Tribolium castaneum: one gene and its partner. The protein of the gene in region 1 purifies or fractionates together with the protein of each later gene. This does not show direct contact. Links are inferred from orthologs where the notes say so. Each region holds a gene or a part of one and is shown on either strand. Other genes may lie near its edges.

Evidence for each region.
Region 2: the proteins of E3 ubiquitin-protein ligase COP1 (region 1) and abo purify together in Homo sapiens (affinity purification with western blotting; 11 studies listed by BioGRID and IntAct, counting the BioPlex papers as one, with this or other methods). This does not show direct contact. The link is inferred for Tribolium castaneum from reciprocal best matches to the Homo sapiens genes COP1 and DET1.

What each region holds. Positions count from the first base shown.
Region 1 is NC_087397.1:2,836,838-2,841,889, forward strand, and holds the start of E3 ubiquitin-protein ligase COP1, read left to right. Parts: upstream 1-1,538; intron 1,539-1,595; coding exon of another isoform or gene 1,596-1,711; intron 1,712-2,047; 5' UTR 2,048-2,085; coding exon 2,086-4,074; 3' UTR 4,075-5,052. UniProt on the Homo sapiens protein: E3 ubiquitin-protein ligase that mediates ubiquitination and subsequent proteasomal degradation of target proteins.
Region 2 is NC_087398.1:5,176,609-5,181,781, reverse strand, and holds abo (DET1 homolog), read right to left. Parts: upstream 3,077-5,173; 5' UTR 2,881-3,076; coding exon 2,500-2,880; intron 2,452-2,499; coding exon 1,574-2,451; intron 1,527-1,573; coding exon 1,335-1,526; intron 983-1,334; coding exon 754-982; 3' UTR 711-753; downstream 1-710. Other genes in the region: Nfs1 (cysteine desulfurase, mitochondrial), read left to right, coding at 23-319, 366-498, 542-695; Amacr (alpha-methylacyl-CoA racemase), read left to right, coding at 3,435-3,542, 3,589-4,617; 2-oxoglutarate and iron-dependent oxygenase JMJD4, read right to left, coding at 4,623-5,173. UniProt on the Homo sapiens protein: Component of the E3 ubiquitin ligase DCX DET1-COP1 complex, which is required for ubiquitination and subsequent degradation of target proteins. The complex is involved in JUN ubiquitination and degradation.

The DNA.
Region 1 (5,052 bases):
AAAAAATTAGCGTCGTGTTAATTGGAGTACGACCCCCTTATCGACCATTTTCCCGACAAGTCTTGCCGTATTCCTGGCATCATGCAATCCGCAATGTTCAGTCCCTTCAAAAGTCAGTCCTAGTTCGGCCAAAGCGCCAGAAAGTCCAATAAACGGGCGTCTGATGTAGCGCTTGAACAGTGCTCTAATATCAATCCATTTGCGGTACATTTTCTCAATTCTAATATTCTTCCGGATGCACTCCTTTCGGAGACAGGTCCCCAAATCCCAGTCCGACCAAGTGGCAAAAGCGCACGTTTTTGCCGCCTGACTTTCGCCGTTTGGGAAATCCATGTCATATAATCTCATTTTTTCGGCAACCCAACGCGAAAACAGAAGCAAACAAGCTTGAAGGGGGACCCCGTTATCAACTTGGTGTTGCTGTATTCCTGTAAAAAATCATCAGTGGGGCTTGGGGCACAATGTTTTTTACCTGTGAGCTCGGTACAAAAGTCGCTCAATTTGGGATTCTCGACTGGCATTACGTATTGCTGGAACTCTGCGATTATTTTAGCGTTTTTTACGTCGTAAAGAACGACCGGAAATTCGATTATTTCGGCCGGATTTTTTCTCGGGTCGCCGTTACTCCAGCAAGTGGCTTCAAAGTCAAGGACGAGGAGGTAGTCAAAAGGCTGGGGAGTCGTGGCCTTAGCGGTTGAATAAATTACTTCTAAAGCACCCAGTTTTCTGAAATTGCAATAATAAGCTTATCTTTAATTTAATTATAATTTTTCTCACCGGGCCAACTCTCGAGTGCTCATTTTACTAAAATATTTCACATGTAAGGTACAAAAAACTTAATCTAAAAGTGGAGCACTTGGTCAAAGAAAGTCTCACATAACCTCAATAAACAAAATAAAGAAAATAGCAGAAATACAGGTGATATGGCATTAGTACGCCTCGATGGTACCGCTTTTTAAGTTACAAAACCCTTTAGCGGAAAACATGGACAACACAAATTGTGTCTTAATTAACTGAATAAAAAATGTATTTTGAATTTGCCGCCATTTTTTTTCCACCAAGTCACAAAAACTAAGGTGATTCCACTCCCCAATAATTTTTTTATCTAATACAGTTATCAGCGCAAATTAAAGGCTCGCACTTTTTCTGAGCATTTTATTTAAATACTGTCGATTGCATACAAAATAGACCTAAAGATAAGGCGTTATCTACGAATATCCAACCTTTCCAGAAACATTTTTTGTGCGTTAGGAGCGCCTCCTGGCGTTTGTCACTCCTGTCGGCCCGGCAGACCTGTCAAAAATCAATTTTGTGATTTGTTGATTTTTGGATTTTCAACACTAAAGTTCCACATAATCGAAAGACGAAACGTATACGATTTTTAAACCACCCTCAACCAAATCACCCCACACTCAAACCACCCATATTTTGTGTCACCATCAAGTATGGCTTTATCTCTAACGTGTAAAAAGTTACTCAGGTTATCCGTCTCCAGCAGATACTTTTTCAGACCATGCTCTTCAGCCTGCCCGGAAAAAGTAGGTTTTATCATTAGAAGCAATGCAATTGAGTGATTTGCGTTCGTTTCGTTTTAGAAAGGCTTAGTCTTGGGCGTGTACAGTGATGATGAATGTGAAGGGTTGGAGCTAACCCCCGCTGCTGAAAAGTACAACCAGAAGTGTCAAGGCAGGCTTTTAGAACAAATTAAACTGTAAGTAGCGTCATAGCGTTTTTATTGCATTAGAGGACAAGTCCAAGCGGAATTAAACATTACATAATGTGAAAACATGGGAGTAATTAATGAAACTTGGCACAAAATAGAAAGCTTTATCGTTTTTTATACACGTAGCGATTATTTTATTGTCTTGGCCCTTTTCGTGCAAATTGAAAAACCTGACCTGAAACTTGATCCCGTCAGTTTAACCAATCCAGTAGTATTGAGTGTTTTCAAGTAACAATTTAGGCGATTTCTGTCCCCGTTTCAGGTTTTCGGGTCAGGAACCGTCCGAATTGTCGCTCCTCAATACTACTCCAGTTCTTGTTTCAGGTCGATGTTTTTCTCTTAACTACCTCTAAGTCGTCAAAATGGCTTCAAGCCGCGACGGTCGTAGTAGTTCCGCCTCTTCGCACAGTAGTTCGAACGTGCCGACAAATCGCTCGTCGATTCGCACCCCAAAGCGTCAGCGTTCGACAGCCGGGGGCGGCTCCTTCGAGGAGAAAACGACCGATTTTTCCTGCCCCGTCTGCTTCAACCTGATCGAGGAGGCTTACATTACGAAATGTGGCCACACGTTCTGCTACACCTGCATTTTAAAATCGATCGAAGCCCTCAAACGCTGCCCCAAATGCAACGCCCCGGTCACCGGCGAAGACATGATCTTCCCGAACTTCCTCCTCAACGAACTGATCAGAAAGCACAAGACTCGCTTGAACAACTTCGAGGCTTTGGGCTTGAACCGCGACAGTTCGGGGGAGTTCGGGACGTCGGCCGACGGTTTACGGGATTTTGTGGCAACGGAATCGCAGAATTTAACGTTGCCGGACGTTAACGTAATGTTGGAGGTTCTGACGCAACGGAAGCAACTCCTGGAGGCGGAGTCGTGTGCCGCGCAAAACCGCCTCCTTTTGGAGTTTTTGAAGCACTTGCTTAAGCAAAAGAAGGAGCGGCAGGCGCAGATTATCAAGGAGATTGCGATTATTGAGCATGACATTGAGGAGGTTTACAATAAGTTGAAGGAGGTGCATAGCAAGTGCCCGACTTTGGAGGATGTGGAGCGGACGGTGGCGTCGGCGGCGGACAATGCCGATGTCAGTGCGATGAAGAAGGAAATGATCGATTTGATTGATACTATAGGTAGTTCGACTGGTCGCAAAGATGACACGACGAATCCCGACGCCCCGCTTCGGCTAGGTTCGACCTCGCTGGCGATGCGCCGGCGGCGGATGCACGCCCACTTTGACGACTTCGTCGACTGTTACTTCACCTCACGCTCCAAAGACTTGTTCTTCGGCAAAGACGGGGTCGATAAGACTAAGACTACTATTAATACGGGTCTCGACGAATTCCGGGAGAATTTGATCAAATTCTCGCGCTATAACTCGCTCCGGGTCCTCGCAACGTTGAACTACTCGAGTGATTTGTTCAACAATTCGACCATAGTCTCGAGTATCGAATTCGATAAGGATAACGAGTTCCTGGCGATTGCTGGAGTGACGAAAAAGATCAAAGTTTTCGATTACGGTGCTGTGATTAAGGATACGGTCGATATACACTATCCCTGTATTGAAATGCTCTCCAAGTCGAAAATCTCGTGCGTGAGTTGGAACACGTACCATAAGAGTATTCTGGCGAGTAGTGATTACGAAGGGACTGTGACGATTTGGGACGCTTCGACCGGTCAGCGCACCAAGACCTACCAAGAGCATGAGAAGCGCTGTTGGAGTGTTGATTTCAATGAGGTTGATACTCGGTTGATCGCCTCGGGTTCGGACGATGCGCGCGTTAAGTTATACTCGCTCAACGGTGAGCACTCGATCGCGACTCTCGAAGCCAAAGCGAACGTTTGTTGTGTTAAGTTCAATCCGAGGAGTTCTTGTCACTTAGCGTTCGGTAGCGCTGATCATTGTGTTCATTACTACGACTTGAGGAACATGAAGGAGGCGGTGGCCGTGTTCAAGGGCCACAAGAAGGCAGTGAGTTACGTCAAGTTTCTCAATAGTGAGGATATCGTGTCGGCGTCGACCGACTCGCAGCTTAAATTGTGGAATGTTAATACTCCGTATTGCCTTCGGTCGTTTGTCGGACACATTAACGAGAAGAATTTTATCGGATTGGCGACGGACGGCGATTATGTCGCCTGCGGCTCGGAGAATAACGCCATGTATATTTATTACAAAGGCTTGAGTAAAAAGTTGTTTAGTTATAAGTTTGAAGCGATTCAAGGGGTCTTGGATCAGGAAAGGCGGGAGGATGATATGAACGAATTCGTTTCGGCTGTTTGCTGGAAGCAGAATTCGAATGTTGTCGTTGCGGCGAACAGTCAAGGGATTATTAATATTTTGGAACTGGTTTAGGTGATAGTCTAGCACGGCATTAGGACAATCAACTGTTCTTGGCATATCCCGGATTGTAAATTTCGTTACAGGATGTGCACAGGAAAAATCGGTTTAATAACTAAAACTTGGATGGGGGACTATTTTATTTTTTACGTACAGGGGGCGAAAATATTTACTGTTTTTATAGCGTTACTATCTCGAAACTTAATAGTCGCACAGAGATCAGCGTCCGCTATTAAATCCCTTATTTTTATCTCTATGCATGTGAATTTTTTCATAATTTTTATATCCTTCGTTATTGAAATTTTTAGTTTTTTTTTACGGATTTTTTGTACAAAAAAATATTTAAGCAACTTTTCTTTTAAAATGAGAAATTTTATTCTTTGCAGCGACTTAATTAATTTTAATTATCAGGAATTGTAGATACGTATAATATGTATTTGGAATAATAGTAAATATTTTCATTAAGTACTGCCTGTATAAATAGGGAGTACCGTGCCTGCAGTAAAATTTGTGACTAAAAAATGTTCGAGTCTGTTGGTTAATTGAAGGCATGGTGGCTTAGTCCCGAAATTTATTGGTGTTACCGCTTATAATTTCCTATAACAATTTTGGAAATAGCAAGGCTATTTTATTAAAAATCGAAACACGAGAAATAGCTGCCGTATTTGTCTATTGCTTCGAGAATTGGGGTAGGAATTGAAGTGTTCCCTCTAGTGAGTGCCCTTGTTTCGTAGCGCCGCTCTCAACAAATATCATTCTCCCAGCAAAAAAGTCTCCACCTCATAATGCCCAAGTGTGCCAAATTTCAGAGTTACATACGCACAATTTAGCGAATAGTATAATACGTGTGAGACAAAACCAGTCGTAGTTCGATGTACACAAGACTTCACAAGTATAAAACCAAAAAAAAAATTGCTCATTAAATTATAGCGTAAGTATTTTTAGCAATATATGTGCCAATTTTGTGTTGTAATCATGTTATTCTTAGTGTGT
Region 2 (5,173 bases), on another chromosome or scaffold:
ATTGTCCTGCATTAACTTGCAGGTGTTGGGGCTCTATACGTGAGGCGACGGCCTAGAGTTCGAGTTGAACCGGTGCAGAGTGGCGGGGGCCAAGAACGGGGCATCAGAAGTGGCACCGTTCCAACGCCCTTAGCTGTAGGAATAGGTGAAGCTTGCGCTATTAGTGAGAGGGAGATGCCGTACGACCACGCTTGGATGGAAAAGTTGAGCAAGAGGTTAATTGATACGATTTTCGGCGCTTTGAGTCACGTGGTTAGGAATGGAGACCCTGTCGAGACGTATCCGGGGTGCGTCAACCTGTCTTTTGCTTTTGTTGAAGGTATTACACTTATAAATTTAGTCATTTGTCTGATGAGTACCTGTAGGGGAATCACTCCTGATGGCATTGAAGGACGTGGCGCTGTCTAGCGGATCAGCTTGCACTTCAGCCTCTTTGGAGCCGTCATATGTTTTGAGAGCCATAGGGACTGATGAAGACCTGGCTCACAGTTCAATCAGGTTTTTCGTACATTTGTTTTGATTTAATCTAACTTTTTTGCAGGTTTGGGTTTGGTCGCTTCACCACAATGGAAGAGGTGGACTACACTGCAAAAAAGTGCATCCAACACGTGACCCGATTGCGCGAAATGAGCCCCTTGTGGGAAATGATTCAGGAAGGGATTGACCTAAAGACCATCAAATGGTCCCAGCATTGAACATACTCATTGTAATAATTTCTCAACAATAAACTTTATTTTATCACAACAATAAATCTCATAGTACAAAATTACAATCTTCGTAAAAATTATTATTAGCATATGCTGCGTCTTGTCTTACGTGAAAATTTACAACGTAATTGGCGTTTGTTCGTTGCACCGAAATGGCAAAAGGGTCCGTGGGGTGGAAAGTGAACGCCACCAGTCTTCGAGCTGAGGGGTACATCAGCCTTGTGCCGCCGGCAAAAATCTGGAATTTTAAAAACCCCGAGTCGCGGCCGTAGAACCTGAAAAAAACAAGTCCGGGCCTGTGTAAAACACTTCAGCTTAGCCAACATCATGAAAAATTGAAATGTATTTAATACCAAAACCCTAAGACCAAGCAAAATTATGTAAAACAGCTAAGTTTTCTTTTGCAATTTACGAAACATTGCCCAAAAACAATCAAAACAGCTCAAAATAAATCTTCACGAACATGGGTTGGCAGCATTGTCACAAATGTCAATGTGTGTCAGTTGTTCAAAAATTTTTCCGTGTGGTGAAAACAGTGTTAAACTAGTTAAAACGCGTTTTTTGCCTCAATCGGGCGTAGAAAGTGTTGATTCAACGTGAGAAGTGGGTAAGTAATAGTTTTGTTACCTTATCGGATACTCCCCGCATGTCTTTGGCCGTTCCATCACCGACACCCATTTGTCGTCATAACTGAACAACGACAAGTCCAGATAAGGCGAACTGCTGTAAGATTGGGCACTTATTGGTAACTGAGCTAGGAGTCTTTTAGTGGCTTCCGTTTCGCCACCGTATTTTGCACTGACTATGGTTTGTTTGAACCTGAAACCTCAGTTGTGACAAGGGCCCTTCAAACCCGCACTTGGTACCTTTGTTGCAAAATCCTGGCGTAAATGTTATTAGAGGGGCTACAAGTAAACTGCGTCTCGCAGTTAACGCACGCGTTCCTAAACGAATCACAGAAATTCTCAAACAAGTGCAACAAATCAGTCGATGTGTTTTCATAAATTGCCAAAATTTTGCTCTCCTTCATGTTGTAAACTATGAAGAAGGACGGCTGGGTGTTCGCGTCGGTGCACTTTAACGTGACGACGTCCTCGCTCGCGTACTTAATCAACAAGTGGTTCTCATCCAAAAGCTGCATTTTCCACAGTTTCAGTGCGTTGTAGTTGCTGAAATGGTGGAAAAATTTGCGGATTTCTAGGGGACTGTTGTCTCTTTTACTTATGGTTACTGCTCTTTTGTACAAAAACGTTAGCAATCGGTGCTTTAGCGAGTTTATGCTCACGTCCCTGAAGGCCCTCTCGTTCGAATACGCCAAGTCGTAGAAATACGAGTCATCCTCGAAGCAAAATCGGCCGATTTTTCGGACATTTACGAACATTCCGTCCAGGATTTGGAAAATGTGGATCACTTGGTGTTGGACTGAGAGCACAGCGAGTATGTCCTTGTATAAATAGAGGCCTTGGTTATGCGACAGGAAAATTTTGTCGACTTTAAATTGCCTCGAATCACACAGTTTTCCTTGATGGAGGTCAACCAAATGAAGAGTGTAATTTTCCAAAGGGGAACGCGGGTTAGGCGTGACCGATTCGTTATTTGTATAAATTTCATAAAAGTGTGGCCGTATCTCTTCCGGTATGAACGCCGCTGAACCGATTATCACGTATCTGCCGTCATCACTGAAAAGGCTACACTCGCGATTAAGTTCCTCAGAGCCTTGGGTCACATGTACCACATATTTTAACTAAAAGCATTAAAAGTAAAAACAAATTTTGTTCCGTGATTAGCGTACCTTGAAAATCCTATCAAAAATTTTACTACTAATCTCTGACCGTTTTTCGGCATCACAGTTCTCAGTTTTGTTGAATAGGTCGGCCGCCGCTGCCGGCCCTCTGTAAGTGTAGACTTCCAGCGACGTTTGATCCGACGAAAACGCAATGAAATATTTACCATCGGGACTGAATTTTCGTAAAAAACAAGGGGGCTTTTCCACGTTTATCACAGTAAAATTGGGGAAAATACATTGGTAGAATTGGCGAGCGGTGTGGAAGTGAGTCCCCGGTTTTCGGTACGAAAACGTCTCGCGATTTTTCAGACGTATTACGATGTTTTGAGGGGCGATCTTCTTACGTTTGAATACATATTCGGTGCTGCAAATCGGCGATTTTTCCATTATTTTGATATGAGGATTTCTAGGTTAGCTCATTTTGATATGTCAAAGCGCGTCACGTGACAATTTTTTAGAATAACAGCTGCAGCAGTGAAATCAGCAATAAATAATAATAATAGTAATAATACAGTCACAATTGAATAAAAATAATTCTGTAACTTTTTAATTAAGTTGTATTTTGCCCACAAATGAATAAGAATTTTGCAATATAAATATCTGTTGGCAGCATTGCTTGATGAAGCTCTTGGACCACTGCAGTTTTTAAAATTTTCATTTTTTAATCGTGATTAAATAAGCGGGTTTTCATCAAATATAATGTTCCAATAGTTTAGGTAGAGCCATAAAAATATTTTCAAGCCTCTTTGTGGCATTACTGTCAATTTTTTTTTGTTTTATGATTTTTTTTGAATCGATTTTTTCCAAGTCAAGTGCAATAATTAAAGTTGTGAGGCTAATTGAACGTTAAAAATTACCAAACAAGCAAAAAATTTTAAAATTTTTGCTTGGAGTAAAGTCCAGCATGATTTGCATTATGCGTATGAAAACATTCGTTTCTGATGGCTTTGCGAGGCATCAGGGTGCTAGAGTTGGCCGGATTGGCCCCAGCCCCCTTTTGTGGTATGGTCTTGTCCGATTTTGGGGCTTCTGTTTTACGTATAGACAAGGTACCCCAATTTGTAATGTTTCAAAGCTTAATTCGAGATCCTCTAGGTTGGGGCTAACATAGACCTTGACTGTTTGGGTAATGGCAAAAAATCAATAGCCTTGAACTTGAAGGACCCAAACGGAGCGAAGATTGTGAGAAAATTGGCCAAAACCAGCGATGTCCTGATTGAGCCGTTTAGAAAAGGAGTAATGGAGAGGTTGGGGTTAGGTCCTGAGACCCTCATGAAGGAAAACCCGCGCTTGATTTATGCCCGGTTGACGGGCTGGGGCCAGACCGGGTTGTATAGCGCGAGGGCGGGTCACGATATAAACTACTTGGCGTTATCAGGGCTATTATCACTTTTTGGGCGAAAGGGCCAAAAACCAATTTTTCCTGTGAATCTGGCCGCTGATTTCGGAGGCGGGGGGCTGATGTGCGCTTTGGGGATTCTCTTAGCGCTTCACGAGCGTCATTCGTCCGGTTTGGGGCAAGTTATAGATAGCAGTATGGTCGAAGGGACGGCCTACTTAGGGAGCTGGTTGTTTCGTTCTCAGAAACTCCCGATTTGGGGGAACGAACGTGGAAGTAATCAGCTGGACTCGGGTAGTCATTTTTATGAGGTTTATGAGACAAAAGACGGGAAATTTGTCTCAGTGGGGGCACTAGAACCACAATTCTACGAAAAATTGTTACAAGGTTTGGGTTTGAGTTACGATGAAGCGCCACAATTTGACGATTACGAAAAGTTGAAAGTTTTATTCGCGCGAAAATTTAAAGAGAAGACGCAGGAAGAGTGGTGCCGGATTTTTGACAAAGCTGATGCTTGTGTAGCCCCAGTTTTAACGCTTGAGGAGGCTCCAGAGCACCCACATAATAAAGAAAGGGGGTGTTTTGCGAGGATGGGGGATGATATAATCCCCAAACCTGCCCCGGTTTTAAGTAGAACGCCTGGAGAAGCGAGTGGGTTGAAAGCGGCCCCCAACTGTGGGGAACATACGTGGGATGTTTTGAAAGGGTTAGGGTACAGTGACAATAATATCAATGATTTAGTTGCCAAAGGCACGGTTGAATGTTTTAATAAGTCCAAATATTAATTTTTTCAATAAATACTGTTTCGTTTTTGAGCAATTTCTTCAATTATTTTTTCCATTTCCGACAATGTTGGACCAAATAATTCCGTCACATCACAGTGTTGGCAAAATAATTCCAGTACTGTTTTTACAGATAGTAGGTCGAAAAAGGCGTGATTTAAACCCAAAATGTGTCCGTGAAATAGCTCCTCTTTTTGTTTTTTGTGCACTTGCGCCAGTCTCTTCAAGGCGATAAATTTAAGAAAGTCGTAAAATTTGTAAAAATCCATTCCAAATGAAGCTTTGAGCATTACTTGACAGTGCTGTAAAAAACCTTCCATATCGCAACAATCTTCTATTTCTTTTTTCACACATTTTAAATTATATTCGATCGTCTCCCACATTTTCAATATGTTACATCCATTAACCCAATTATGATTTACGGAAATTGTATCCTCTAAATTCCACACTTGATGGTACCAACCCGTGGGTACAAAAACAGCCTCTCCAGCATTTTGGATTAGTTCGAAATGCTGTCGAGTGTGGTACATGTCGCTAATATCGTATGGGAGATTATTGA